Oryza sativa Japonica Group: one gene and its partner. The protein of the gene in region 2 purifies or fractionates together with the protein of the main gene of each other region. This does not show direct contact. Links are inferred from orthologs where the notes say so. Each region holds a gene or a part of one and is shown on either strand. Other genes may lie near its edges. The genes, in order: probable cleavage and polyadenylation specificity factor subunit 1 and flowering time control protein FY.

The links.
Region 1: the proteins of flowering time control protein FY (region 2) and probable cleavage and polyadenylation specificity factor subunit 1 fractionate together in Arabidopsis thaliana (co-fractionation; 3 studies listed by BioGRID, with this or other methods). This does not show direct contact. The link is inferred for Oryza sativa Japonica Group from reciprocal best matches to the Arabidopsis thaliana genes FY and CPSF160.

The regions. Positions count from the first base shown.
Region 1 is NC_089038.1:10,090,989-10,107,237, forward strand, and holds part of probable cleavage and polyadenylation specificity factor subunit 1, read right to left. Parts: intron 16,202-16,249; coding exon 16,106-16,201; intron 16,011-16,105; coding exon 15,958-16,010; intron 15,181-15,957; coding exon 15,049-15,180; intron 14,961-15,048; coding exon 14,909-14,960; intron 14,823-14,908; coding exon 14,706-14,822; intron 12,670-14,705; coding exon 12,529-12,669; intron 12,030-12,528; coding exon 11,904-12,029; intron 10,553-11,903; coding exon 10,475-10,552; intron 9,744-10,474; coding exon 9,624-9,743; intron 8,108-9,623; coding exon 8,013-8,107; intron 6,945-8,012; coding exon 6,751-6,944; intron 6,211-6,750; coding exon 5,438-6,210; intron 5,306-5,437; coding exon 5,225-5,305; intron 5,146-5,224; coding exon 5,080-5,145; intron 4,023-5,079; coding exon 3,945-4,022; intron 3,302-3,944; coding exon 3,071-3,301; intron 2,705-3,070; coding exon 2,576-2,704; intron 2,484-2,575; coding exon 2,310-2,483; intron 1-2,309. UniProt on the Arabidopsis thaliana protein: CPSF plays a key role in pre-mRNA 3'-end formation, recognizing the AAUAAA signal sequence and interacting with poly(A)polymerase and other factors to bring about cleavage and poly(A) addition.
Region 2 is NC_089035.1:42,521,462-42,536,362, forward strand, and holds flowering time control protein FY, read right to left. Parts: upstream 11,227-14,901; 5' UTR 11,103-11,226; coding exon 10,883-11,102; intron 10,778-10,882; coding exon 10,686-10,777; intron 10,444-10,685; coding exon 10,375-10,443; intron 9,600-10,374; coding exon 9,495-9,599; intron 8,941-9,494; coding exon 8,845-8,940; intron 8,768-8,844; coding exon 8,685-8,767; intron 8,563-8,684; coding exon 8,491-8,562; intron 8,405-8,490; coding exon 8,307-8,404; intron 8,182-8,306; coding exon 8,122-8,181; intron 8,053-8,121; coding exon 7,992-8,052; intron 7,901-7,991; coding exon 7,813-7,900; intron 7,259-7,812; coding exon 7,195-7,258; intron 6,956-7,194; coding exon 6,877-6,955; intron 6,585-6,876; coding exon 6,495-6,584; intron 6,250-6,494; coding exon 6,161-6,249; intron 5,939-6,160; coding exon 5,493-5,938; intron 5,372-5,492; coding exon 5,105-5,371; intron 4,980-5,104; coding exon 4,905-4,979; 3' UTR 4,423-4,904; downstream 1-4,422. Other genes in the region: uncharacterized protein, read right to left, coding at 1-220; CSC1-like protein At3g54510, read left to right, coding at 558-838, 946-1,089, 1,452-1,515, 1,763-1,972, 2,066-2,251, 2,396-2,694, 2,800-3,079, 3,161-3,433 and 2 more; probable ADP-ribosylation factor GTPase-activating protein AGD11, read left to right, coding at 13,304-13,365, 13,538-13,608, 14,025-14,118, 14,501-14,576.

The DNA of each region.
Region 1 (16,249 bases), on a different chromosome or scaffold from region 2:
GGAAATGCACCCACCAAGTACAAGAAATCTATACTACTTTAAATGTTAGTGGTGGTGGTGGTGGTTCTGCCACCAACCTTCTGACATGTGGGGACCACAGATCCATAGGAGGGGAACGGGAATCCTCGCCTACTCCCCCGTTCACCTCCTTGCCTTGGACATTGCCCATGGAACTCGCAACAGGAATTGTGCCGCCCATGCTTGGATCTGGCAGGGCGCCAGCTTCTGATGCCACTGTATTTGTACAGCAGTGCAGAGACTCACCACTGTTTGTCAATTTGGCGGGGCAGCACGGTAGCTGAGCGTGCTTCGCCAATGCTTGAATCCTTCCGCCATGGTCAATTCCACCACAACGCACCGCTTGTTGGCTGTTTTGTTGCTGCTGCTGCTCAAAGAGCACCATAGCGCTCAGGTTGAGCGGATCTGGTGGTCCCGGGCTCGGCGCTGCCGGTTCACTTGCTAGAGGGAGAGGAAGGGGACGGGAATAAATCGTACTAGGGGAAGGGGACAGAATTGCAGACGTGACCCTGCTAGATAGACTCGCCAAAGAAGGGACTGGAGGCAGGTGGTGCTGGAGAGGGCCAGGGGCTGGCGCCGATGGCGCTTGAGAATGGAGGAGATAGGAGTGGCAACGTTGGAGAAGGGAGGAAGCATGGCGTGGTCCAGCTCATAGAGGGAGGAGAGGACGCAACGAATGGTGCAAGCTGCAGGCCGCTGGCAGGTGTAAATGGGAGTTAAGGTTAGCAAGTTGTAAATGGGCCAGGCCTTTCCTGCTGGTGTACGAGAGTGTAGCCGGCCTGCCTGATATCACAGCAGTGCTGTATTGATAGAAATCAATTTATTAAGGACTGAATTGTCATAACTTATTATGCAATGTGCATATGTTTGTGTCTTTTTGCCCTCACAAGCAGAATTGTACTGACCTGTATTGCACCTAAATAACATGAATTCACATTAAATAGAGAAGATGATTAATTCAGCAGGCATCCAGAAAGTGAATGAAAAAAAGACTTGCGTCAGTTTTTCATCATGAAGCAACAGTGCTCTGTGCCCCTGCCTAGCTCAGCATGTATTTAGAAACTGATGGCAAAAATTGACTAAAACAGTTAAACAATTTTATGCTTTAAAATGTACTCCCTCCAGATAATAATAGCTAAATTTAGCTAAACTTTTAGAGTTTGGACTGAGGTAGTATGACAAAGGTTCTCTTTTTAAGATTCCATGGCAACATATGAGCAGATTAGCTAGTAATAAAAAAAATACATTATAGTCTATATTAACACTGGCTAGCACAGGTTTCTTGTTATGATCAAAGGGAACAGTTTTCAGGTTCCCAGAACTTGAGTTTGAGAGAAACCAAATGGTGCACACATTTGACGGATATTTTGGTTTGGTGTAGTACTATTGATGATGTCATTCCTGTGGTCGAGTATGCAGTTCCTACTCCTTTTAAAAAACAGTAAGAGGGATATCACTTCAACTCAAAAGTATGGTAACTACTTTATTTTTAACTCCACACTATGTTTTTACTATGCAAAAAACATTTAGCTAAATACACAAAAAAAAAATTCATCTGTAATATCAATTGTTAAAATATCAAAATATTACTTTAATCATTTTCTCCACATTTTTTTGGTTGTTTTACTGTTCTGGCTGGGGAAATATTTTCTGGTCAGGAAAACATGTCATTTTAAAAATCCAGTCAGAAAAATGTAACTTTAACCACTAATGTATAACCCCAATAAATTTTAATATTATGAAACTAATTTTCAAGACAAATACACACATGAATTTTATGTTCCCCAACTAGATATTATAGAAGATATTGATGATGACATGACGTACATCCAAAACAACTTTTCATGACCTGATGGAACACTATATAATTAATGTTATGTTTGTAACATGCAATAAGAACAGTTAGTGGCTGTGTCGTACATCTTTGTTATGAGAAAAGAAGTTGTAGTCAGTACAATGCATGAACACTGGAAAATCCAAAGTCCCAGCTGGCTCATAGGCATTAAGCTCCAATTATACTAACCTCCACAATAGAAGTCAGGGTTGGCTCAAAACTCCAAAGCTAAAACATCAGGTAAGGCCAGATTCAGGGAACCACTATTTACATAGCCTTGTGTATGAAGAAACAATTAATGCATTATTTCTTTCTATTTAATTGTTCCTATCAGCATTATGCATGGACTTTCGAGGAAAAATGATGCCTAGAGAACAGAAAACAGGAACTAAACCAAAAGTTACGTGCTCAAAACCTAAAAGCATATTAATTGAACCAAAAGCTATTCAATACTCACAATGTTCAGGCTCACAACATGCAAAGGGGCATCATAGAATGCAACAGCAGTCAATTCAGCACCAGTCCACTTGTTTAATGTGATCTTAGGACCAGAAGCTATCAGCAGATGACCTTGAAGAGACGCAACAGCTGATACAGCACCTTTACTCTCTTTTGAGTAGACTTCAGTGACCTGCAATTAGTGTTTACATGTTATCAAATCAATCGATACGTAACGGAAGTAATAACCTTTTTCCCAATTGCAATAATGCTCCCTCACAGTACCAGATTTTGAGAATTTTCACTTTTCGTGAAAGAGAACAGAAGCACACGTCCTCTAGCAGCTACATCCTCCCCAAGAACATAAGCAGTCCCAATGGCCAACAGGGTCTCATTTTCCTTGGTGGTTGTATTCTGAAGTAAAAATGCATAACTGTTCAGTGAATAATATAATTAAACCTACAGACATGTGTACCTTTGATCATTAAATTTTCAAACAAGATAAATCTCAAGCATAGAAATGACATGGCAACCATGCATTTGGAAGAAAAGAAGATAGAAAAAGGAAGTAATGATGACTTTATTATAGCTGACAGTTTATGCTAACAGCTCCATAATTGAATTATAAAGGGTCAAATATAGAGTATAGAGGGCATTTAGTTTGCAAAAATGTGCTTGTGGGTTGCTAAAATATGGTGTCTTCAACCAGACAGGTTCACTTGGTTTGTCACAGAAGTTCATATAGTTTGGTTTCAAGTGGGAATGAGAAAAGACGCATACATGTAATGTAACAATGCGCACGGTTAGAGCATTTTCAAACAATTGCATTGGAATTGTGGACTTCGTCTCCCAATGTCCACCAGGTTTCTCCAGCTCCAAAATGCGGACCTCAAATTCATCAACAGTATATGTCTTATGAAGGGCATCAGTGCTTGTAACATCGTTATCCATGTGATGAACTGATTCTTGATCAGCCATAGAAGAAAGAACTTGATTTAGGGGACGAACTACCTGCAGGACCAAAATGAGAATATTGTACTAGATAGTTGTACATAGGAAGAAGTCCAAATACCCTGAACTTTATAACTGGACATCCACCCCCCCCCCCCCCCCCCCGTCCCCAAAAAAAAAAAAAAAAAAAAAAAACTTTGCAATACCATTCGTATTACCCCCTAGGGTAGTTTGCACATTTGGAAGCTTAAATGAGCAGCTTTGAATAACTGATACAACATATTTACATATCATTAATAGTAGGTCATAAATTTCTTCTTACATAGTGATGTGACACTTTCACAATGTTGTTGCAGCGAATAAGGGAGTGAAAAAAAAGTTTTGCATGGAGATTTTTAACATATATATGTCTAATACGTATGTCATGTGATCAAACTCATCCAACATACATGCAAATTAGATGAAAAACCACTTTGCAAAATCACCTTAGGGGGTTGTATAAACTGTATTGTTTAGTTTGGGGGTTTGAACGTCCGGTTTTAAAGTTCAATATGCTAGATGGACTCTCAATCAAAGTTTAGGTGGCGGAGGGTGTTATTTGGACTTTATGTGTTGAACATATTCGAAAATGCCTCAAAAACATAATTAGATGCCAATGATAAATTATGTTAGAATTGCAGTAATAACATATACTAATACTTACAGGAACAGACACTATTAGGGGATAAAGAGATTGCTCTGCATAATACGTGACCTGATGTGGGGTGCCATGCAAAGGGACCTGCAAAGATGCAACATGGTCAGGTTTTCAAGGATGAGAAGGCTTCAGAGTAATTCAGTTTATTCCCTGAACTCTGGCTCATCCTGAACTACATAACCAGGTTCCTAACCCCCTAAACTTGCGGAATAAGAGCAGTTTGGATGGCCCAAGATTTTAGTTTCAAATTCCCTCCCTATACACGTGAATGGATTGGGATTGAGTCCCATCTAAGCAAGGACTGAGGTAATTCCTGAGGCGATTTTTCCCCCATGGCAATGGCATATTGGTGTTGCTCAGATTCACTTCAACATGATGGCATGGACCTGAATGGTTTTTAATTTGAACTGAACAAACAAATAAAGAAAGAAAGAAATGTCAATGTCAAAACTATTGTTGAACAGGGGCAAAGGGACAAGTTTTACCATGTCTTTAAGGAGATTTATCTAGTTAATTAAACCAAGTCAGAGTTGTGGAACAGGATACGTTTCCGAAGATACAAATAGCATACTAAATCTCGATGTCTCCTCCTGACAAACCACAACAATATCTATAGCCAAAGGTTGTAATAGTCAACAAGGACACACAAGGATGACTGGGTTGCAACACTCCTATTTTCAACAACAAGGGGTAGCAAGCATGAGTGGGGAACCAAGCATCAATAATGATAGGTTGAGGAGCAACCATCCGAACCTCAACCATATCCCACATGATTTTGTGATTCTCACAAAATTGAGTTGTTAAAATGCATAATTCTAATACCCCGCACACATGGTCCGCCTACTCCAACCTCCACATTATGAATTGCAAACAGTCACTCAATTATAGTGGCATCAGTGCAGCAGATGTTGATTCTGCAGCAGCACCATTTGAAGGATTGCAAGGTGTTCAAATAAGAAAGAACTTGTTAGCTCCAGAACTAGTTGTTTTGGCTTATATGAATGTGCATGTGATAGGCTTGTAAGAAGCAAGGTAGTGGGCACATTGGGTGCACATCTTGAGGGATTGTTTGCTACAAGTTTGGAATCTAGGGTAGAATGCTGACTGACCCATTTTTTGTTCAGGAGTTACAGTGAGGTACCTTTTGAACAGGCCAGTAGCTGTCATAGTTATATGCTGAGGGCAATTGGCATATCTTCAGAAAACCCTACAACCAAAAAAGAAGTGTATCCCTGAATCTCAAACTTTTAGTAAAACTATCTGACAACAATGCACAAACAACTAACCTGTGATGTAACATATATAAAGCCATGAGAACAATTTACATTATGCAGAACAGTAAAGGCTTCAATGGGACCGTCACATAACTGCAAAATAGTAAATGCTTCAGTTTGGTCATTTTAAAATGTCAAACTGGAATAAAAATCAAAAAATCAAGACAAGGAGCAAAAGTGGTCAAATGCAAGAACATTGAGAACTTGAGCATTGCATTTACATACCTGTGGGTGCACCCGCAATCGTTGTCGACAAACCATAACCCAAGCTGGCCTCGTGCCACTAAGAAATAATCCCTCATAGCCACCAACATTGTTAAAGGTTGTTATTCTTGGTCGTCCAAGAGTTGGTATGTCTTCTCGTGATGTTATATCTATAGAAACCCGGTGAAATCTGAGATTTCTGAGCCTGGAATCACTGGCATTGTGATGATCAGCAGAACCTTGAGGTGACAATGGAACCCTTTTCACATTGCTCTCCGAGGCTTCATAAGAGAAGGCATGGTAACACAACAATGTGCCATCATTCAATAGTCCAAAAAGGAAGGGTCTACTGAATTGACCAGACCATCTATGCATTGCAAGCTCAACTATCCGAATGCTATCTCCTGCTTCTTTCTTTAGGGAAGCTTTAGTGCAATCATATCTTTCTTTCGTGCTATCCTCATATATGAGCTGAGAAAATTTATCAACCAAAAGAGCCTCGCCAGAAATAAAATTTTCCACAGAGAAAACACATCGGAAACTAGGCACTTCAAAAATTTCCAGTTTACCGCTTTCATAGCAAATGATACAATATATATCAGATTGATCATGAGATGAAGTACCATTGCCATCAATTGCCTCCGCAATACCAGTAGATAACCATGCATCACTACGTGTCTTTGTCAGCCATGGTTCAGGACCTCTGTCACGATAAAGTGTACAGGCAGCGATTCGCTCACTTGAGCTAATAAATATACTGGGAGCATTCACAGAAAGAGTACAAGTACAATAATCTGCACGACGAAACAAAAAAGACATGTATTTAATTATTTCAGTAATTGGTGATGTGCAATTAAGATGACATATACAACTCGTCTAGCTGGCCATATCAAATTTACTTCCAAAAGCCTTTCCTAAACCTAATCCATCCAAATCTCACACAAGTTCATAGGCTAGAACTGAAATAAGAATCAGTCCCAATAGTTAAAACACAGTTCTATGCACCAGCTTAGTCCTAAACATACAAAGCACCAGATTGCTAACTTCTATCTTCATCTATCAGGAAATCATCACATGTCTGTGTCCTCTAAAGCCATATGAAAGCAAAATAGGTATTGCACTTCACCATCATATGCTTATTTGATCTCTACTTCCTCAAAAGGATTCTTTTTTTTTCTAGCATTACTTCCTCCAAACTACTTGACAATATGACAAATTGCATGCGATAAGTATATACTGGTGGACTAGAATTTTGAAGTTTGACCGAAGTTTGGACAAATAAAAAACAAATAACAACGAAAGCAATTCGTGTTTGACTAATGGATATGCATTACCTCCTATAAGAAGTTGAACAGATCCATCAACCATCTTCAAAAGAACATATGGATCTGCAATGGAAGCGCATGCCACACCGAGAGCCTCTGAACTAGATGATTCTGAAGCATGCGTAGTAAAGTTTAGCTCCTGTGTCATGAAAGAACCATCAAGCACACGAGCACCCTTACCATATACCTGTATGACACGCCGCCTGCAAAAAAAAACAGAAAAAAGACTCAACAATAATGAAATAATAGAAATTGCTAAATTTCCTGCATTATAACCTGAGTATCACATATCAGTTATATAGATACATAAGACAGTGATACACAATTTTCAAAATAAAAGGAGGGGCAAGATTTGAGTACATATATGTTAAAATATAATTGCAGCATGATATATGTTATGCCGCATACAAGAAGGCGCAGAAGATCCATTATGCCATCATAAGAAAAGGAAAAGGTAAAGGAGGAAAGAGATAGGGCACTTTTGCCCATTGTATCGACCAACAGGCATGTTATGCCCTTGCAGCCCAATCAACCCACCAGCACAGCAATAGAGGCTGCTTGACCTAACCCCTCTTTCATGTGCATGAAGCACCACGACCACCTCTCTTCTTCCTCTTGATTTTCACTTTAGGATACTCATCAAACTCCAGCTTCAACTGTCCATCCAGTGTGACATCCCCTCATTACTGCCCAGAATCAGCTTCATCCCCTGCTGTTCACAGGCATGACGCAAAGACATCGCGAAAAGCAGCGAGGAGAGGATTCCCTTGCTATGGAAGAAGCAGGACAGGAATGTGTATTGAAAAACGTATCACACAATGTATTAGTGAATTACCACTAATTGTTCTCATTATTTTCGAAATTTAACCAACACTTTGGCAATACACTGTATTGCTGGCTTGCTGCATCATTATGTATGTATCACATACAGGTAAGGCAGTTGGCTGGCGTACCAGTGAACCTTTAGATTTTTAACATCTTCAAATCTTCATTCATGTTTTATGAAAGCCGTCAGATGATGTGAAATGTAGGAAAACAAATTATGGAAGAGCACTAAACATACACATTCATTAGACGCACACATGAGAAGAGATAGTTGGAGTAATGTCATGACAAATTAGACATACCCTGAAACCCAGGTTGCTCAATCCACATGAGATAGTTGTCATAACTATAAGACATATGCAAAATCTATCTGTTCCACAGCAGATAATGCCAAACTACTATTTACATAATTGATATAAATTACAGAAATATTAGCAGTTGTATACCTCCCAAACAAGTTGCCAGCAGCAATGGTGCTTGCTTGAACAAAGTAATCAACAGTTTCTGTAACCTCTCCTAAGTCATCACCTGTCTCAAGTACCTTTCACAACACAATTATCAAATGGTTAGCCATCATTCCATCAAAAGTAAAGGGGAGGATCGATTCCAATCATAAGTTAAATAGCAAAACCATGTGTCAGCTGAATAAAATATTCAGAACATTGAAAAACACACCACATGGCATGACATGGTTTAGGAACACTCGCACAAACAAATAAAAAGAAGTGAAAGAAACAACATACACATAATGCAGGTCAAACCAGTACAGATATTGCTTGGGACAGGGAATAAATAGGTTTGCTTTTAATACTGATATTCACATTGCATGCAACCATTTTGGTGTAAAATTATTAAAAAAACCTTGCATACAGGTATACACCCATTTTCCGATCCATTTGGAAGGTAATGTTCACATGAAGCAACAATTGTGTTTCAAGAAGCTGAGAAATAAGTTTCCTAGAAGAGACAACAAACCGGACCATAGTTAACCACTCAGCACTTAATCAACTATTCCTGTGTCATGATTTTGTTCCAAAACCAACTCCACATAAAGCGAAAACATATACAGTACAAATCTGAACCATTATTTTATGGGGGAATGTTGTGGGAAATATTAGCTGAAAAGCATCAATTTAGTAAAATCATGAGAACCACTCCACAAACTATGTAGGGGAGATAAACAGGCAAAAATAGTACCAAGAAAAAATATATTTGGCCGTTCACTACTCTTTGCCTGATTATCCTCACTACTATTTGACATCACCTTCCCTACACCCCAACCTATTTCTCATCTCTAGCAGCCAGTAGACAGACTGCCTGGCAATCCTTTTGATCCCTGCCCATAACAGTATCCTCAATTATTATAACAGTTGGGGCATTAGAAATTTCCAAAGTTTCTAAAATAACTCTGTGTGGAACACGTTAAGTCACATGTACTTCCAGAAAACTTGCAATCGTATGGAATGACATTTAGCCATTTAGGACATGAGATAGAAATAGGAGGCTGAAAGCATATATTTTGGTCCCATTTATCCTTTTTATGTCCTCCCACATATAGCAATCTATACTCCTTATAAAAGGTAGTAGTGGTGATGTTCTTCTGCCACCAACCCCACCACCAACTCCCAATTTTCTTTTAGAGGAAAAATGGCATGTGGGGCTAGAGGACCCACATGTCAACCACTTCCACCAACTCTCTACTTTTTATAGGAAGGAAAAAGGATAGTGTGGGACTAAAGGGTCCACATGTCAATAACAAATATATACAGCAATTAAGAGATGGTAATAACAGGTTAATGATAATTTCCTTTAATTAATTAAAATCCAGTTGCAACGCATGGGCAATATGCTAGTATTCATTAAATTGTTTAGGATTTCTTGGATCATCTTATTATTGTTTAATTGTCATATACCATACCTAAAAAGGAACCAATGCAGGTTTCCTGGGACAACATTATAAGCATATCAGTTCACCACAACCAATGAGAGTACGCATCACCATACCCATGGGAAGGAGCATACATCAAACAGTAAAACAAAAAAAAAAAAGGTTTTACCATTGTCCGATTCTCCAGACTTATTATCAGATATGCATGATATTCATTATCTTCTGCCATTTGTCCACGGTAACTCTTATAGTAAACTGTCCAAATACCTCTGCAACTTGGTAATTCCACCTACAGAAGTTAAGAACAATGTAACTGAGTAAAAATAAAAGTATTCCACGAAGTACCTAAAAGTAATGACAAAATAAATGCATACTTGGTGTTGACCAATAGATGCAAAAGATGGACTGCTTTGTTGGAGATTTTCAAAAGGCATCAATGGCATTTTCAGTTTGGTTGAGCCATCAAGATATGATCCAGTGACAACAACCTTCTATTTCATGTGTGGTTACTATTTTACATGGGCCATAAAGTTTACTTAATTATGAACAGCCCACGCAAAACTAGCACCATATAAACAAACAAAATGTAAAATACAACAGCAAATCTTTCATATTAGACTCAGGATAACTGGTTTCACAGCAATATTGCTGACAACACGAGACTCAGCATACAACAGCAAATCTTTCACAGCAAAAACCACCATGTGTTCCATACTAAATCATGTTTCACCACCAGCATTAATATGTTAAGTGAAACATTTATTGCCCCAGCCTTACTAATATACTGAATGGCCCAATCTGATCCATCCCATGCTTAAAGTAGAAACGGTAATTATGACCCAAATGATCTGCATGCATCATGGAACTAATGTGTGCTCATCAGCTATTGTAAAGCCAACAAAATCAAAGATCTCGGATGAACGAGCAAGCTAATAATAAAACAAACTGATAAAGAATTTGCAACTTCCCAAAAAGATTGCAAGTACTCAAAATACCAATGGTAAATGAAAAAATATTTACCTCAGTAATTAAATCAGGACGGATAGATTGTTGAAGGACAGAAAGTGAACCATTTTTACCATGACCAGAACAGCACACCTGAAATAAGCTTATATTGTTTAGAAAAATGAGTAGCCCAAATCAAGGATAAATTACATACAGCAGTACTTAATTAAAGGAAAAAATGGTAATAATATGCCACAATCAAGGTTTACAGTTTAGAAATATGCCATTCGCATGCCTCATCCTTCCCTACTGCTGCACCTTACTCCCATGATCTCCACAGATCCAACAGATGCTATCTTGATGGTGCACTGCTGCTACCAATGGGTTCCAACATTGCTGCGGAAAGCAATGAAAAGACAAATGATGGGGTGGTGCATTGTGGATTGCAACGTTCAGATGTGAGAAGGCAGTGCCAATGCTCATCAATGTTTACAATGCTGACACTAGCACTGGTGAACCTTGCGGAGGCTATGTCAATGTCAAGTGTGCTGTTGGGTTGCGCTAGTGCCTAGGAGGCCTGCGTTGGAGAAACTAAGAAAAGTAGGTCAGTGGAAGGACAATGATGCTGGCTGGACCTGGTATCAAAAGAGATAACTCCACGGATTTTTCTAGAGCTTATCAGCAGCCAAGGACGCCATGACTGCTCGTTACTCATTCAGTTGGCACCCGCCTTCTCTGGAACACCACTAGTTGGTCAATGGCAGCCATGGAGTGGGTGGAGATGGGAAAGGACGAAAGAATAATGGGGTTAAATCAGTCCATTTGCCTCCATATTGCAATGGCATATTCCCAATCCACAATTCTCAGCAACATTTTTGTAAACTGCATGCTTTGAAGTGGAATATATATATACTATCCTTTATTAAATCAGGATAAATAGATTATTGCATTCCTTTAATTGTTGCACTGAATTGACAGATATGTGAAAGGTGATAAAAAAAGTAAAATGTTAAGATCGAATATCGTCAACATAATAATTAGCACATATTCATGCAGATTATTCAATAGCATACATTATGGACCATTGATGTTAACACCTCAATTGATTACAGATGGCACATTGTTCCTAATTATGTTTATTCAGTCATGTACTATGTATAAATATAAACTCATCAGAGTTCCAGTTAGCAATTTACCCATTCTGGTAAACATTCAGTTTATTGTCTTAATCTTTTCATTATCTTGTATTTAATTCCTTGACTTGAGAACAACTAATCTTCAAAACCTAGCTAGTACTAATATCAGAAACTTTTGGAATTTTCAACAACCAGCTGTAACCTGCTGCTTACAGGTAGGATTTGAAACCTTGGTTTGCCATACTAAAGATAAAAAAAACAAACCACATATGCACATCCAACAATAGTAGCTAAATCAACCATAGAACTGATTGACAAAGACCCAACAGTAATAAAAGATCAAAAGTAAAGATTGCCATGCCACTGACCAACTCGTAATTGCTTTGCTTCGCATTTCCCATTGCATTGGGATCTGCATTGGCTCTTAAACCATATGAAAAATCTTTCAGTGGACCAACATTGATCAATGCATCTCTCACAATGTATGATATCTTCTGCAAAGAAAAAGCCAGTGAATTATATAGTCAGAATATAATGAGAAGCAACTGTGATATTTTTTAAGAGAATAAGTAATATAGTTCGTGATTGGAAATGGTAGCCAAAAAGAAATAGTAAACAACTATATACAAGATGAAGACCCTTTGTTAATTGAAAAAGATAATGGAATTGTGCATTGTACAGGAAGGATAAACGTCACTGTATAATCAATCCACATAACCAATAAATGAGTAAGATTGTGCGCTTTTCTTCTTTTATCTCAACTTTCTTATATTAGCAAATATTGACTAACCAAGTTTGAAGGATTATGTTTGGCACAACCTTTTCTCCGCTAGTAGGTCCCACATATCAAAATTGGGGACACTGGTGATGAGGTGGTGGCAGATTCACCACCACCACTTGCTCTTTTTAAAGGAGTACAGATAATTAGAACATATGATTCTGGAACCACAGGTAGCTAGCATACAGTTGAAACCCTGAAAGTAATACTCAGACCTGTGCTGATTCTAAACTGTTTGGTGCAATGATATTCTGAAAGGAAAGTTCCTCAACACTGGTCACATCTTGTAGAACATCAGAAGGAATCCTCTTTAGGCGCTTGGAGAAAGGCAGATCACCTTCAATATCAGCAGAGCGCTACAAAAGTAGATTGCTATATCATTAGTCACCAATGCTTTCAAGGGACAGCCATAGCTCACCTTATACGTGGTATTTTTCAAAGGCTCAACGCTACATGCAACAAAAATAACCATCCATGTTATGTACATATTTTACTATTATTCTATAGCGATACTAGTATTAATTAAAAGTATAATTTAATATTGTGTAGAAGTACATTTTATGGTTAATTAACTAAATGTATCTTTAGATGCTTTAACAAAAATATACAATGGTGTGAGGTGTGTAGGGGGGAAGGGGGGCATCTCATAACAAATCTTATGTGCCACTAATATACACACGGTGTCAGGTCAGCATAAAGACGTAATGTTTCGAACCAGGGGGTAAAGCAGATGTATTTGAGAGTTTAAGATCGTAAAATGTCTTAACTCGAAGGTTCAGGGTTGATTTCTGGACTTCTGTCAAAAGTCTAGCCTTGAAAATGAACCTTATATTCATTGAATGCCCTAAATGATGATACCATCGAACAAGCATAGAGAGGTGGTAGTAGCAGAGGAAGAGAAGAAAAGGCAGTGGATGGAAGATGAATTTGCCAAGGCTTGTACTCCTTCCGTTCCCAATTGATCATCATATTACAGGAGTGCACCCAAACCAATAAAAGCTAATAACTATCATGTACTACATTTAATCTAGTAACAAACTCTGATGCATGCACCATCCCCACTATTTCCTAGCCAATAACAAACCAAGACATTGCATGTTGGTTGTAAAGGGTTGTGTGCATGGACGCATGCATCAATGTACATTTACTCCTATGCACACATAACAAATAGACCTTGGAATAAATACTACTAATATGATGATCATTTGGGAATGGAGGAAATAACCTTTAATGATCTCTAACGAGTGGCCAGTTCTTTTTTTTTCTCAAATACGCAAGAGCTGTGTATCATTGCATAAATAGAAGAAGAAAGGTGTCCAAACACGCAAAAAAAACAGAAAAAAGTACAAGAACTCACGCCACCACAAAAACAAGCCACCACAAGGCAGTAAAATGACCCTGGTTGCCAGTTCTCAAGTATCACGTTGGTCTAAAAAATCCTAAAAACCAACCCAATAACCATTTCTACTGATCTGCCAACAGAAAAACTATATGGCAAGTTGAGAAACATAAGAGGCATAGTTGTTAAACCTGGACCGGCCATCAAACCAGTGAGCCCATCAGTTCACAGTTCATTGGCAGGACCGTTGGTTAAATAACATTTTTTTACTTTTTGTTGTTTTGGTTGACTCCAAGGAAAAAAATCGAGTGCTTCTCCTTGTGAAATCAACAATGTGGCTTGCTCAGTTGGTTTACTAGGTACATGGGCAAGCCAGTGATCACGGGATCGATCCCTCCTCCCACGCATGGAGTTTGATTTTTCTTGAAAAAAGTATAGCCGGCCAGAGACTGCTCCAGGTTTTTAGCCAGTTTTATACAAAACTGGGCAGTATAACCAGTTTCTACCGATTCATGTGCATCCCCAGTCTTTTAATCAAATCAGATCACACCTCAGTCCGGTCCGGTTTTAATAACTATGATAAGAGGCATTTGGAACATAAAATTGAGGTGCCAATAGAATGACTTGACAGTGAGTGCCATAGATGTGGCATCATCTGTTTGACAGGAGGATCAATAATGCAAGCTGCAAACAATGGTGTAAACAATCGGACACTAGCAGATGGATCACCGGGCACCGGCACAAAGTAGCAGCACCCATATGGTTATGCTGCCATGGTCATGCTTCAACACCATGAGAAGAATTAGAACTAATATTGCATTCAAGCTCAGTTCAAAAAAATCATTGCATTCAAGCCCAATGGTGAATTATTGGGTTCAAATTTTCAAAACCACAAGTACAGAAATATTGCATCTCTAGTTACATGTTTTCTATAATGACAGTAAAAAAGAACTCATTTCAGGTGTTGTTCCAAAAATATAGGTATCCGACATGTAGTGAAATGTTTTACTTCAAAGATAAAAAGTAAATCAACACAGATATCTCAGTACACACCTCATTTGTTAAATCTTGCAAAACAGATTTTGATGCACAGTAGGAAAATTGCACAAGAAGGCTATCCCCCAGACGACTACCAAGGAAGAAGAATGAGTTTCCAATAGATGTCACAGCCTGTCCATAAATAGGTTAGTAAACTTAAAAAAGAGCAATATCTAAAAAAGGAAGCATATAAGCACAGAAGTACATAGGTAACCAACCGAACTGAGGACAGATGCTTTTGATTTCATAAGATCTAATCTCTGCACAACTCTGTAAAAAGAATAAAAGAACATGTAATGATCAACTCTGAACAACAGTAGCACAGACAATAGGACAATGAACCATAGAATTATCATACCGCCCATCATAAACCACTGTAAGTAACAGCATCTCTCCAGCCTTTGTCGAGAACATTACAATGTCATTGGACAACCAAGTTGCTTTAGCTGCATCAAGCTCAACTTGGAAATTTGACTTAGAAATTTCTGGGCTGCAAAGCCAGCAAAAGAACAGAAGGTTACCAGCATACAAATCTACTGAAAAAGAAAGAAGCTAAGCAATATCAATACGGTATAGACTACAGAACTTAAGAATAATCAACTATTCAATATTGATAGGTATAACACTGCTGCCGGAGTAGTATATGTGCCATATTTCGCAGGTTTTCTATATCTTTTTGGATCAACCCACTATTTTCATGTAAGATTTGCTCTCAGCAAGAAAAGCATGCCAGTACAGTAGATTTGACTACCTTTTTACAACCAAATAAGTACAATGAGGTGTGTTATGCACACCCAATCACCCATAATCAACAGCAAGCACCTTCTAGTAATTTCACCTTACGAATTACTCAGTTCACATGTTTACCAGTACATCAAGATGGGCTCAAATGCTGTGCTAATGTCTCAGTTAACACCTTTAGTAATAATGGATTTAAAAGTATGTAGCTTCAAACATAATCTTCCAAAAAAATTAAATAATTAGGTTGCTAGGACCTAGGGGAAGTTCAAGATGGTTATTTTAATCTTATTTTCTATGGACAACCATATAAGAAGAGACCACACTACACGTCTTGAGCTTATCACTTTTAAATCAGGTATCCACATTGGTGATCTTGGTATGTGATTGTGATGGTACTGCACCACTGATATGTGTGTAGCCGTGTAGTAGTTAAGCAGAAACAGGGCCCATTTGTATGTGATCCGAGAAAAAGAACAAACTATCGTAATCCAATTAGTACTTTGCATTTAACATATACAAACAGTACCTGCCATCAGGGTGTGATGAGAAATTGTTCAGGTCAAGAGAACACGATGTGGACTACAATAACAAAGAGAACTTCAAATCAATGATCCACGTTCAGCAAATCAAAATAAAGTATGTGCCTTCACCACGAGTATTTAAAGGGATCAAACCTGACTATGGTAATGGATGGAATTTGCACAGATCACAAGAACACCACTAATAGGGGGAGGCACTGCAAGAAGTTGGTATGCATCGTGGGGCAGATTCTGAAAGGAACAAACACTTTGTAATGGTAAGTATATTATTTTGTAATG
Region 2 (14,901 bases):
GCGGCGCCTTGGTGACGAACTCCTGGACGTAGTTCTCGCCGAAGCAGCGGTGGCCGGCGTCGTAGAGCTCCCGCACCATCGACACCGGCTTCGTCTTCCCCACCGCCACCACCCGCACCGCCTCCGCCGCGCGCCCCGACCGCTCCGCCGCCTTCGCCGCGCGCCCCAGCACCGCCCGCAGCGCCTTCGCCGCCGCGCCCTCCGCCGCAGCCGCCGCCATCCCTCCTCCTCCTCTTCCTCGGCGACCTCTCCTTCTCCGATGGTGGCCTATCGCCTCTGTGCCCACACAAATCCGCGGCTAAAGCCGAGCCGCGTCGCAACACGAGCCGAGCCGAGCCGACCCGGGGTGAGATGGGCCTTGGCCCATGATGGTGAGTGGGCCGAGCCATTTGAGCGCGAGCCGCACGTGTCGAGCTCGAGCCGCGCCACGTTTCACCCCCGGCTCTCCTCCGGCCGCCACGTCGCCGGCTCCGGCCAGCACACCGGCGATCTACTAGTTTCCGTGGTAGAGGCGATGCCGCCGCGGGGTTGTCGAGGCGGCGGAGGTTGCGGCGGGGATGGACGCGGAGGGGTTGCTGGCGTCGGCGGCGATCAACCTGGGCCTGGCGCTGGTGGCGCTCTCGCTCTTCTCCTTGCTCAAGAAGCAGCCCGGCAACGCGCCGGTGTACCTTGCGCGGCGGATGGCCGCCGGTGGCGGTGGGGGCGGGCTGCCGCTCGGCCACGGGCGGTTGACCCCGTCGTTCCGGTGGATCCGCGCCGCGCTCCGGCTCTCCGAGGACGACGTGCTGCGGCGCCACGGCCTCGACGCGCTCGTCGTCGTCCGCCTCTTCAAATTCGGGTAAGAATGTGTTCTACTGATCTGCATCTACTCTGAGAAAATTGCTAATGTTACTCTGCTTGCTCTCTCAATAGGAGTATTTTACTAATTTCTTTGTAAGAATGTAGGATCAAGTGCTTCGCTGTTTGCTCAATCGTTGGATTGTTCATCCTTGCACCAACAAATTATTCCTGTGAAGGTCTACAAGACACCAAAAGGTCAAATTCAATGGAACTTTTCACGGTATCCAATGTGGCAAGGGGTTCTAACAGGTTAGCTATTCTGCAGCTTCCTTTCACCCTCCTCTCCAGGTATTCTTCAGAGTCAGAGTAGTCAGGTCGAAAATGCTAGTGTTTCAGAGATCAGTGGAGGAAACCCATTCTTGTGAATCAAACGTTCATGAATTGCTCTCTGGTTATAATTTCCAATTTAAATGAGTAGTTTTCTCCAATAGAGCAAGCTGTTTTGCTTTCAATACAAGTTTTCACAAGGGACACTGGCATATCTTGTTTAAGCTGATAGACTACAGAGTGTTAATGATAGTACATAGGAGTTGAAAGTTCATCAGATAAGTATTGCCTAGCAATCAGCATGGTGCCAATCTCTTAACTGAGTTAGTTCTTTGTCACAACAGGCTTTGGGTGCATTTTGCATGCCTCTGCTTCATATCATTCTATGTGGTGTATTTGCTTCATAAGGTACGTGTTTATAAAAATCTTACAATTGATCCAATTGTTACAATCTTACAATTGATCCTGTTGTGTTTTCTCCCCTGTTCAGTTGTGAAAATTGATGTTGAAATTTTGATCACCCACCATTTGAAAATATTTTGCTATTTTTTATTTACTATCCTATTCCTAAGCAAGTATTCTTGATTTCGTTTCAACTATTACATAACTATGCTGTTCAATACATATGTGGCACTGGCATCTTGAATTGAACCAGGAGCACAAAGAAATGTCCAGCAGAAGAATTGCACATTTGAAGTATCACAGGAAACGGCCTGACCAATATACCATTTTAGTTCGAGGAATTCCACTATGCCCAGATCATGGAACTTATGGGTGTTATGCTGACCACTTCTTCTCAAAGCACTACCGAACATACCAATCGTATCACATAGTACACGACATTGGAAACATCAAGGCACTTCAGGTGAGTAATTAATACATTGAGGTAGAAGTTGTAATCTGTGCCATACTTAAGTGACTATTACTACACTATTAATGTGCCTTTGCATCATTACAGAAGTTGGCATCCTCCCTTGAGGACAAGATAAAGAGGAAAAGAGAAACCAGAAGATGTAACTTTTGGAAGTGGATCTGGTTTAAGTTGACATTAGAAGCGATAGATACTCGCAAACTGGAAGAAAAACTGAAGAACGTCCATCACTCTATCCGCCTCCTACAGTGTGAAAATATGCTTAAACGGAAGGTATTGCATTCTCATGTATTCTCCAATCCACTTGCTTGTGCCAATAGTATCTTCAATGTTGGTGTTGCGAAACAGAGAGAATGAAGGCACCTATTTATATTGAGAATTATTTGTATCACATACTAATTTTGCTTTCAACTCCAGGAATTACCGGTTGCTTTTGTCTCATTCAAATCACAGCTGGATGCTGCCCAAGCTGCCGAAATGCAACAGCATGTCAATCCTCTGTCCTTGGTGACAACATATGCTCCTGAACCACCTGATGCACTATGGACAAATCTGGCTATTCCTTTCTGCCGTATTGCTATATACAAACTTGGTGTCTTCATTGCTGCGTTTCTGCTAATAGTGTTCTTCACCATCCCTGTCACAGCTGTGCAAGGGATAGTACAATTTGAGAAAATTAAAATATGGTTTCCACCGGCTAGAGCTGTGGAACTTATGTTAGTGGCCAAAACTTTAATATATTGTGATGCAGTAGGCAATGTTAGCATGTAGTACCGTGGTATAACAACATTGATTTATATGATACTTTTGTCATCTTGCAGACCAGGTTTGAATTCTGTCGTAACTGGGTATCTTCCAAGCATGATCTTGAATGGCTTTATCTACTTGATTCCCTTCGCGATGCTTGGCATGGCATCATTTGAGGGATGCATTGCAAAAAGTCAGAAGGAAATCAAGGCCTGCAACATGGTATTTTACTTCTTGTTAGGGAATGTTTTCTTTTTGAGCATTCTTTCTGGTTCTCTACTCCACCAGATAGGAGAATCCTTTACACATCCAAAAGACATACCTAGCCGTCTGGCCCGTGCTGTTTCTGCACAGGTAAAGCAAAGAAAAAAAAAGGTTGTACTGTATCTATGTTCCACAGCAGCCATTCAATTTATCCATTTGCTTGCTTTGCAGTCAGATTTCTTCATCACATACATTTTGACCGACGGCATGTCAGGGTTTTCCTTGGAGGTTCTTCAGTTTGGTTTGCTTACATGGCATTTCTTCAAGGCACATTCAATTGGACATAGTGAGCAGCCATATCTTTATGGCTTCCCTTACTACAGAGTTGTGCCCATCGTTTCCCTTGCAGTATTGATTGGGTTGGTCTATGCTGTTGTTGCGCCTCTTCTACTTCCAATTCTTGTTATCTACTTTTTGCTTGGTTACGCAGTGTACATCAACCAGGTAAATTTAATTCATAATACTTGCTGCTTTTCATATTTGCGTTTCTCTTTAGCGACTTCAAGTTGATTTAAGCTGGCAATACTTTTTTCTTAATAAATTAAAAATAAGCTTCATATTAAAGTTATTCAATTTTGCATTACTTGCAAAGCAGCATTACATAGATTTTAAAAAATACAGAAATTTTCTACACGTGACCTCCAGCAGATTGCTTGGATGGATATGGTTCAGTCTAGCCATTTTTATGCCATCCAACCTTGGTCCTTCTATTTTATGTAGTGATTATTTGTTTGCTATCTTTTTAACAGATGGAAGATGTATATGAGATTACATATGATACTTGTGGACAATATTGGCCCAATATTCATCGCTACATCTTCCTTTCGGTCACACTCATGCAAATTACAATGCTGAAGTCGAAACCGGGGGCTTCATTCGCCACGGTTCCCTTGCTTGTGTCAACCATTTTGTTCAATGAGTACTGCAAGGTTCGGTTTCTTCCAACTTTCCTTCATCGACCGGTTCAGGTACATTCATCGCATTAATTTTATAATTCCCTTTTATGTAGTTGTTTCCTTGTTAGCGGTGTCACATTCTTTCGCGAAGCACGTATTAATCTTTGCTATTTCTTTTTGGATTTTCGTGGAAGGTTGCCAAGGAGAATGACGACCTTAATGAAGCTGAGGGGATGAGAGGTGACCTGGACCATGCCATTAGCGCCTATAAGCCACCATGGATGCGCCCGACGAACTTCTCTCCAGATTGTAGTTCGGTACAACCTTTGATCCGTTCTGTATAGTAGTGTTGGTGACACCGCTAGCTTGGTATTGGTTTTAGTCCTGTTACATAATAAGAACCAGGCAAATTTTCGTGTGAAGTTTGGCTGTTGGCAGATATAAGCTCGCATATAACAATGGCATATGCTTTTTATGTGCTCAAGGAGTCGTTTTACATGTAATTACCACGCTTTGGCTCAGTTTACTCGGTGAAAATTACAAATTCAAACAATTTTCCTCTTATAAGTGATCAGTGGATCTAACAAATGAACCCACGGACAAGCATTGCCTGACAACAGTGTAAGTGTTTACAATATAGAGCGTACGCCGTCAACCAATCAAATTCACTGGGCCAGGCAAAATGATTCTCACTTGTTACAAAACTGCTTGATAGCCTCCGTCTATGTTGAAAACCTCAGTAGCATAAGAACTAATACAACACGAGCAGCATAAATAGGGAGCAGAAACAAGCTGTTAGGTGGACAGGTTTGTTACAGCACAGCCCGTTCAGTCCAAGGGCAGCAAAATGTATCCTAGCCGACGGTGCAAGAGATAAGAACAATCCTAACTATCATTATCCAAGATATCCGTCTCCGTTTGCTGGAGACTCCTCTCTTCCTCGAATACGATCATACTACATATGTTTTACCGCATGGAAAATAGAAGGCTTCCAATCATCATTGCACAGTTACAAGAGATCATTGCGGCGCTGAACCGCGAGGCGGTGGATGCTGTGGGGGTGGCGGCGGAAGGCCCACATTGCCCATACCCGGCTGCGAAGATTGACCAACAAGCAGCAACGTCACTAAATAATTCTCAGCATGTGAGCAACATAAATATATAACAAAATCACCTTAAGGTCCAACAAACTCATTGAAATGTAATGTTCTGGTTTTACCTGATATGAGCTCAGACCAGGGATGGATGTCATCTGTGCTTGTGCTTGTGGAGGCATTTTTCCCTGAGGCCTGTTGTACATGCCTCCCATAGGAAAGTTTTGCATGCCAGAAGCACTAGATCCACCTTGAATATTTCCCATTCCATTTGGAAAGCCACCCATTGGAGGCATATTACTAGGAGGGCCCTGGTGTGTCTGATTCATGCCAATCAAGTGCTGTGGCATTTGAGGCATCATCTGGTTTGATGAACCTTGTACTTGCATTGCCTGCAAAGTGGAAATATCAAAATCAATATATCAGCTGTCAATCTAGCAGTTGTTAGCACGTTTCTTTACTTGCAACAAAAGATCTTGCAGAGAACAGAACGTTTAGGTAATACTAAATTACCATTGGGTGAGGCATAGGTGGTAGTGGTGGATTCACTGGTGGTGGACCTGACATTGATGGAAGCTGAGGAAGTGGTGCTCGAGATCCTTGCGCGTGTGGAAGCATGTGTGCTGGGGGCTGCAATTGAGGCATATTTGGAGGTGGTGGTCGAGGAAATTGAGGATGCTGCTGCTGCATCTGTTGATATTGCTGTTGCTGCCCACCGGCTAGAAGAGATGGATGGGGACCTGGAGGCAAGGGAGGTTGCCCAGGTGGAAGGCCAGGTATCGATGGCCTCTGCTCTCCATGATCAGATCCATCAAGAGGCATTGCGACCCCAATGCCAGGAATTGTGCCTTCATTTCGTGATAATCCAGTATTAAATGGTCCAGGTGTTGTTGAAGGTTCAGGCATCTGGAATCCACCCATAGCACGGCCAGCAAAAGCAGGATGTTGGTCACCGTAACCTGAAACATAATAGCAGTTTATTATATGTATCAAACATTTCTTGTCTGGTCCCAAATAAAAAAAAACACCGAGACATGTGCAGTAAGTGAACAAGTGATGTCCATCAAATTGTCTAACTAATCATCCATCAAAGGCATGTGGTGACTCGTGGTATTTTGTAATATGAATAGAACAAGAAGTTGAATAAACCAAGAAAGAAGCTCAACAAAAGGAAAAGCTACCTTGCATCTGTCCGCTGTTGTATTTATCGCGGGTAAGATCACCAGGCCTATTTCTACACCAAAATCGCGTAGCATGATCATTGCCCCCACTGAACGGAAGTGACAATTGTATCAGTGAAATCTGACGCATTGCACAGCATAATGAGATAAAAGGAGAAACAGAAATAGCAGTTAGAATCATTGAGATGCAGAAATAAGGAATAAGTAAACATAATTATGTTTCCATATCCATATCTGCAATTATAGGTTAGAAGAATAAAAATAACTCAAGAAAAAGACGAGCATAAATCTAAACTGCAAATTCAGAATTTTGTATCTGTAACTCTGGCAGTACCTGCAAAGTAGATAACCAACAGGATGCCAGGCAAGGTCCCACACACTATTGTCATGTGCGTTATTTATCTCTATCTGTGGAGTTTCATGGCTGCCAATCAATTGAAATTTTAATTTAGTCAGATTGAGTCATTTGTAGCCAACAAAAAAATGTATTTCCTCTAAAAGAATGTAACAAGTGAAAAGTTCAAGAAGAAACTTGAAAGCTAAATATATTCATCAGACAGGTTAAGCACACAGTAAACTTAAGTAATCGTAAACACAAGCCAGAGTGGTCTAACACTACAATATCACAGTTAAACAAAAACCCAAGTTCCAATGGGAAAAGAAACTACCATGCCAACTAGAATTTTTTTATTTTAATTGCATTTCTGATGTCTTACCCAACCAACCAATGAAAGATCGCTCCATCATAGCTCCCGCTAACAAAATATTCTTCATGAAATGGATGCCATGCCAAAGCTGCATAAATAAATAAATTGAGTATATTATCTATTCAAAACAACCATGGCAAATAAGGGAGTGGCGGATATGACAATTTCCCATGCAACATTTCAGTCAGTAGTTTGATATCCATAATGCATGATTTGCAATGAAACAAATAAATTACAACTGCTGTTTGATTGAAAAATGAAAAATGTATCAAATCTTAAACTCCAGGAAGGGAACCTAAAATTCAAATTATGTAGTGAGAATCTAACCAGTCACATCCTTGTTGTGTCCACGGAAGGATTCAAGCTCTTTCATGGATCTAATATCATATAGCTGCATAAAACACATTAGCAATAGCAAGTTAGAAACTATCCAATATAGTGTGTTTTATTTAGTAGATATGAAACAAACGGAACTTATAATGTCTTATTAAGAAAACAGAAAATATTATATTGAATTCACTTAATTATGGAGAAAGCAGTAATTCTTCTCTAGACAATAGTTTCAACCACCAAATAAAACTTTGTTTCAATAATTGATTATTACTCCCTCTGTTTCACATTTAAGACGTTTTGGCCTCTCCATCTCTTGTCTAGATTCACTAGCTGTAAGAATTTGGACATGCATGAATCTATTTAAAACCCAAAACGTCTATAAAGTGAAACGGAGGAAGTAGTCATGCTGAATAGCTGTTTTTTTTTTTCTGATGATGCGTCCTAGGGACATTAAAATTTTGCATCAACATTGAGTATGAACCCCCCCATTCCCATGGTATACCTCACTAGCACAAGCATGTCAAATAGATGAGAAAACTAAGCAGTGTAAACAGAACACTTTGCAGAAAGAATGGATGAACAGAACAGGGTACACAAGCAAAAAATATTGACCTTAATAATCTGATCCTTGGAGGCAGTCAACACCCAGTTCCCATTCTGATTCCACTTTACACATTGTACAATGTTTTTATGACCATGGCTGCAGATATAGCTCATCAGGTCATCATGTGCTGATGTGTTGCTGACTTTCAACATTAGCAAAGTAATACGAACGATGAAACAATACATACAATGAACGTAGCTCTCTACCACTTTTTGCATCCCAAAGTTTCACGAGATAGTCTTTACCACCTAAATAACAAAAAATAGAATTAGCTCTACACAAATAAGCTCATTAAACTAGCAAGCATAATAACTGACCTGAAACCAGTAAAGATTTTGTAGGGTGCCAATCGACACTCTTAACATCCCAACCATGGCCTGGCTGAGTATGAAGGCAAATTCAGGTTACTTGATGGGTAAAAATAATATAAGATATCATGCAATAACTTCATGCATGCGAGGATCAAGTAGTTCGGGCTCATAGAAAAGTACAACAACATTACCAGTTAAGGATCTTTCTTCCTGGCATCTTGCAAAGTCCCAAACCTTCACAGTAGTGTCATCAGAACAGGAGCAAAACTTCAGGTCTGTTCTACAAAAGCTGTTTAAAAGATGCATTGTAACAGAGAATGAACATTAACTTGGTATAGGTAAAGTAAAGAAAAAAGCACATGGGGCTGCCATCACCTCAAGTCACGAACTGATTCTCTGTGAGCTGTTTTATTAACTTTAACATTGTTCATGTTACTTTGCCAATACCTACAAAGGAAGTCAAAACGTGCACTTGACATGTCAGTGAAAAGATCAACATGTTAACTTAAGGATCAGTATCCAACAGGGTGACAGACTGACAGTGATAAAAATTCAAAAGGCCAACATACTTGATTGCACCACCATCATCACCAGTGACCATCCAGTTCTCATTGTTACTCCAAATCATTGATCTTACAGCTTGGTCATGAGCCTATTATCAAATTCCTCCAAAAATCAGCAAACTCAATGACACATTACTAGAAAATCTGGAGCAAAATTATAGAATACCTGAAGGATCATTTCAAAATTAAAAGATTGGCCATTCCATAGGGTGAATTCACCACTCTGTGATCCCGTAATAAGCCGACGCCCTGTGGGAGTCCACTTTATCAACAAATAACGATACATTAGACACATAAATGACAAAAGGAGAAATCATATTTAGCCTAATAATATCAACGTGGTACACAATATACGAATTCAGTTAGATTACACCAATATAAAGATACTTGGAATGGAGTTATCAACCCTCTGCACTAGCTGGTGTAAAAAAATTGGAACATTTTTCAAACAGTGTGTGAGCCTATCAAGTGACATTTTAAAGTTGTACTGCCATCAATCCTTAATTCTACCATAAAAAATGTAGAAAACAAGTAAAAATATAATATACCATCAAATATATTTGATTTAAAATGGTAAGAGTAGCTGCCTACAGATAAATATAAAATTAGATTTCAGAAGAAAAGGAAGCTCAGCAATAAGGTGAATGGTGGTGAACACCTAGAAGTTAGATCGATTCTATAGTTTTCAGCATTCTGAAGGTATCGCTGTCCTTCAGTGACCATGCACTAGCCAAGGCTTAGTGGAGCTCTTTGAAAAATATAAAAATAGCAGTTGGGATACTAGGAAAGCATAGAGATGGATATCATAGAACTCACCAAGACCCGATTAATAGAGCATCGGTTCTTGTTTATTGATGAATGTACAAATTTTGCAGCAAAACTTGTTGAGGGATTATCGGGGTATGCAACAGACGGCAACATCTGAAAAAAAAAACCCACATTAATCAGGATATCCAGATACCAGACAATGTATTCAAAATACAGTAGATACAGACAATTTCATAATCATCCAAACTGAACAATTAATTCATCAAACTTAATCATCTTTTGTCCAAGATGACAGCACTACCCAGTAATCAATCCAAAACCCTTAACCAAAATAGCAGCACTCAGCTAATTAAAAGGAATGAGACATAAGTATGTTCTACGTAAAATATTGCCTGAAGACTGAAGAGTTAAAGATCTAATTTTGTCAGCTTAATCCATTGAGCACCCTCAGTTTTACGTTGTACCATGGAGGATTTATCTCACATATATATCATAAATAACATCCAGACAGATTTACATAGTTGTGGCAAAACTGAAAACTTATGCATTAATTAGCAAGCTAAATGGCCCAAAAACAACAACCAAAGACAGGATCTGATAGGCACTCTCCCTAGATAGCAACAGGAGTTTGATTAATCCACATACAACAATCCATTCATACAACAATATAGTTTTCTTTTTCTAAGACTATCATTTTTACTGCATAACATTTCCGTTTAACCAGAACCTTGACTCAAGAATATTCAAGATCTTCCCAATCATGAGATTGCAAAGGACATCAATATAATGTACATAGTGGTTTGTTGAAATCCAAATTACAAAAGAAATGTGAGCGTCAGAAGTATAAAAGTCTAAAAACAGAAAACAGTATGGCAACTATCTTTTAACATGTTGGTTACAAGCAAGGCAAATGGGTAAGGTAACATACGTCCAGAACAGCAGCTGGAGTCGGCTGCACAGTGGGCCTGTCCCTAGCATCCCGCTGCCACATGCGAGCCTGCATGTCATATACATAATGGTGATCAGTGCTAGCAGAAGAATAAGAAAAATACAGGGTGCTAGATCTTATTGCACAGAAAAATCAACTTATGAGCATTTCATATTCATGTGATGTTTGCAGCAGGCACAGTAAAAGGAGCATATAGTAAGCAAAGTTCAACTGTATAATAGGCTCCCACAAAATAGAACAAAACATATATCACTATAACTGCTTGAGAAATAAGTTTGTTATATTTATACTTGAACATAACGGACGACTGTGCTTGTGTAGTCCACTGTTCGCCGCTGGACAGGCTTCCGCATCCTTTTAGCACCGAAATTGTCCCCATAAGCTGAATTGAGCCAAAATTACGATAACATAAGAACGCGCACCAATACCGCTGCTGTGCCCCTAACCCTAGCCAGCGACGAAACTACCAAAAGAGCGGCACTGTTACCGTCGTACGGCGGCTGGTTCTGCTGCGGCGGGGGGTGCCCCTGGTGCGCGGCGTAGTCGCCGGGGATGTTGGTGGAGGACGCCGCCGAGAGCTGCCGCATCGGCGGCTGCGGCGGCGGGCCCCGGTAGAACTCCCCGCCGCCGCCGCCCCCGGCCTGAGGCGGCGGCGGGTGCTGCGGCGGAGGCGGCGGCGGCGGCGGCTGCTGCTGCTGCTGCATCATCTCCGCCGCCGCGAGCCCCGCCGACCTGAGCTAGGGTTTTGGATCCGTGCGGCGCGGGGGTTCGGGGTTCTTCCGCCGAGGAGACGCCGCGGGAGGGTGAGCTCCGTGAGGCGAGTGGTCGAGTGCTGTGCTGCCTCGCTTGCCTCGCGAGATGTATTTGGGCCATACAGGCCCACTCTGGCCTCATTTAGATGGGCCTTCAAGGCCGGCCCATCCACGTTGACGGCAAGGATTTTTAGCCCATGCGAGGCCTCTCGTGTATTTAGCTCCTGTTGCTTCCAAACCAAGGTGCCAATATTTAGCAGTCCTAAATGATACTGAGGCAAAAAGGAAGCATTTTGCAAAAGTAGAGTTTCGTCATGAAAATCGGGCTTGTAATTTTGATGCTCACAACTTAGCTAAGTTTGCTTCTACTTTACAGGAGGGGCGTTATCTTTGGTTCTCAAATCCTCCTTGTAATATGAATAGGAATGTAAATGTGGATGGTAATAAATAAATTATCCGCTCTTTCTAAAAAAAAAAAAAGCTCCTGTTGCTTCCTCCAAATAAAAGCAAACTCAAAGTAGTTTTTCTCTAAACAAATATGCGAATGGTCTAGTGCTTCTTTGGATGAAGGGTTTTTACTTTTTAGGGGAGAAATTTTGTATTTTTAGATTCCGTAGGAGATTCTACTATATTTCATGGGAATTTAAACATTCACCTAGTCTAGGCAAATCAAGCTATATAACTTCAAATTATCATAATCAATAGTGATAGTTTTATTAAGATTTATATCTGCCTAAAAAATCCATATCCGGCGAATTTTATGTCAGACACAACACGTTATATTTTCCCCCACGTCCTAAATATATGTGTTTTTGCACGTGTATTGATTTTTTGTGCTTTTATATTCCTATATATTCTATAAAAAAAGATCATTAGGCATAGATCCTCTAGACTCGTTCTGGTATTGTACATGTGGGTTTCTAGTTGAATTTGATAATTTTAGCACCGATGTCTAGTTGTTTACATAATCTAATATTATTGTATGAGTTTCTAAGTGCGTGCATATCCACGTACCATGTTGTAGTTATTGTTGAAAACGTAAAAATGAAGTTGTCGTCGACCTTCTCTTTAAGACTTTGTTTGATTCAGTTTAGGATTATTATATTCTAGATTATTATAAATAAGTCGAAACAAACAGATAACTTATTATGATAATTATTACAATCTATGAGCCAGATTACTATAATATGGTAATCCACTCTAAAGGTGCTTTCTTTAATTATTGGGTGGCTAATAGCTAATAACGATCCGGTGTTGAATAATCAAGAATTTCCCTATCTTTTTTACCAAAAGTATCCAACAGTCCAGTAGAAACAAACAACTAACAGATTATTCTATGTCGGTTTATTATAATCCAACTTATTGTAATATGGCTCAATAATCTATATTATAATAATCTTAAACCGAAACAAACAGAACCTAAATCACACTTCTCCCACAATGAAAAAAAACCACCCACTGTAAAACAGTGTCATTTTGAAAATCACTAGAAAAAAAGGGACAAATAAAACTGAACCATATAAAATATTCATCCTAATTCCTCTTAGTCATACTAAAGATATAATGTTTAAGTAGATAAAGTCTGCCATAAACGGTCTACATGTCATCAAGTGTACAAATTGCGTGTGTTTTTGTTTTTTTTAAAGCCCACTTGAATCTCATAAACGACGGTAGGCTTAAGATTTCTTAGACAATCTATCAAATTGCATAGGAATTGCCGTCGCATGCATGAAATTTTATATTTAAAGACATGCGTTTGAATTTTCAAGGTCCATTCTGTAGTTTCAGAAACATTTACTAGTTTCAGGAAATATTTTTGCTGCTACATGCAGTGAACAAGACAGCGAAGGCTCACCGGGAAAACGAACCGCCACCGCTCCCTATTATTAACCCCCACCCAACCACTCGCTCGCTCATACGCAGCTCAACATTAAACAAAAACGACGGATCAACCATTTCCTCCTCGACGGCAAATCGCCGGCCCCCCACGAAGACTTGTTCTTCCTCCCGCCGCGCATTTCTTTAATCACTCGATCTGAGCTGCATCCCAAATCCCCCCCGATTTAATTATTTGCGGGGGGTGATGGATCCCCACATTGTCGTCGCGTCCCCTCCCATCGCGGGGATGTGATGTCTATGAGGAGGATAATAAGATCATGGAGGGGCACAAACCAGTGCACCAATTCGTTGATAGCCCCAAGCCGCAGCGCAGCGCGAGGTAAGCACCCCCTCTCCCCCCCTCCCATTCTTCATGCCCCAATGCTGCGACTGACGATTGCGATTTGGTAATTTTTGTTCTTTTTGATTGATTTGGCTCGGTTCTTGCATTTCATACGGATTGAGCTAATTCGGTGTCTGATGTTATCCCCACCCCCTTTGCATGTGTGCAGGAGAATTTGTGGAATGGCATCGAGGATCGATGCGAATGACCACGGCAATCAGCAAGGAGGCAATCCCCAAGGTTTCTCCCTTTTGATGTCCCCTTTGAAATCTTGGCATGTGGAATTGGATGCTGCCTACATTCCAATTGAAATTATAGAGTTGCTATAGCTTCTTTTTTTTTCCTTTTATATAATCGTCAACATGAACATCCGTTAGGGAGGAACAAATAAATATTAATTGTAAAGTGTGAAGTCTACTTTAGCATTCAACTTCTTCTTGGCTGCTGTTATTAATTTCAAGCAGAATGAAATACTTCCTGCCACTCCATTAACACTTAGCAAGTTTCTAGACAGATGAAGCTAGTTGTTTCAAAAAGAAAGAGGGAGAAGAAGAAGCTAAATGTCCCCTTGTATTGTATAGAAATCCAGATGAAGTTGCTACTTATCCATTTGTTGTTTGTGATAATGACCGATGTTCATCCATGATTGGTGCCAGGTCCAGTTGGTACAGCAGAGAGATTAGAGCATCTTTTAAACCAACCAGCAAACAAAATTTGTGCTGACTGTGGTGCTCCAGATCCCAAATGGGTGTAAGTATCCATGAATCCCGTAAGTGCTTTTTTTAAGGAAACAAAATCTGCAGTGTATAGATGTAGCCTGTATGCAGATCATTTTTTAAGATTTTGAAAAGAAATTGTTCTAGCTCATATATGGTGTGTATTCCCTGCTTGACTTAACTGAATTCGAGCTGAACATTTTAAAAATGTAAAGGTCAATGCAATTTACATTGTAGTAACAATTGTTGCATGTGTGTCGTGAAAAAAAAAATTCTTGCATTACAATTATCTGACCACTTATTTAGTTGAAGCAAAATTAAGTATATCTTATTCACTGTTGAGATACCATTTCGTTTTGTCATGGTATTTCAGCCAGAGTGCTATATACTAATACTAGTACGTCTGGTGTGTGCAGGTCATTGACTTTTGGTGTGTTTATTTGCATCAAGTGCTCTGGAGCTCATAGAAGTCTTGGGGTGCACATATCCAAGGTAGCCATGATATCTGTACCATAGCAATTTATTATGGCTCTTCCACTTTTGAGTTTACTTCTTATTTGATTTCTTTTAAGATGCTCTCCTACTCCAGCCATTGTAGGTTTTCGCTGAAACATATTCTGATCTTCCGGGACAATTAGGTTCTAGATGATTTTCTAGACGTGTCCATTGCGTGTTTGCTATTACTAAGTGTATCCCCTTCTGTAACTCAAATAGTGCAGTCCTGTGACTTATGTGGCCATCCACTGCGTATGATGAAAAACACTTGAACCTTTCACTTGCTTTGCCAGTCACCTCCGATCTCTACATGGACATATTT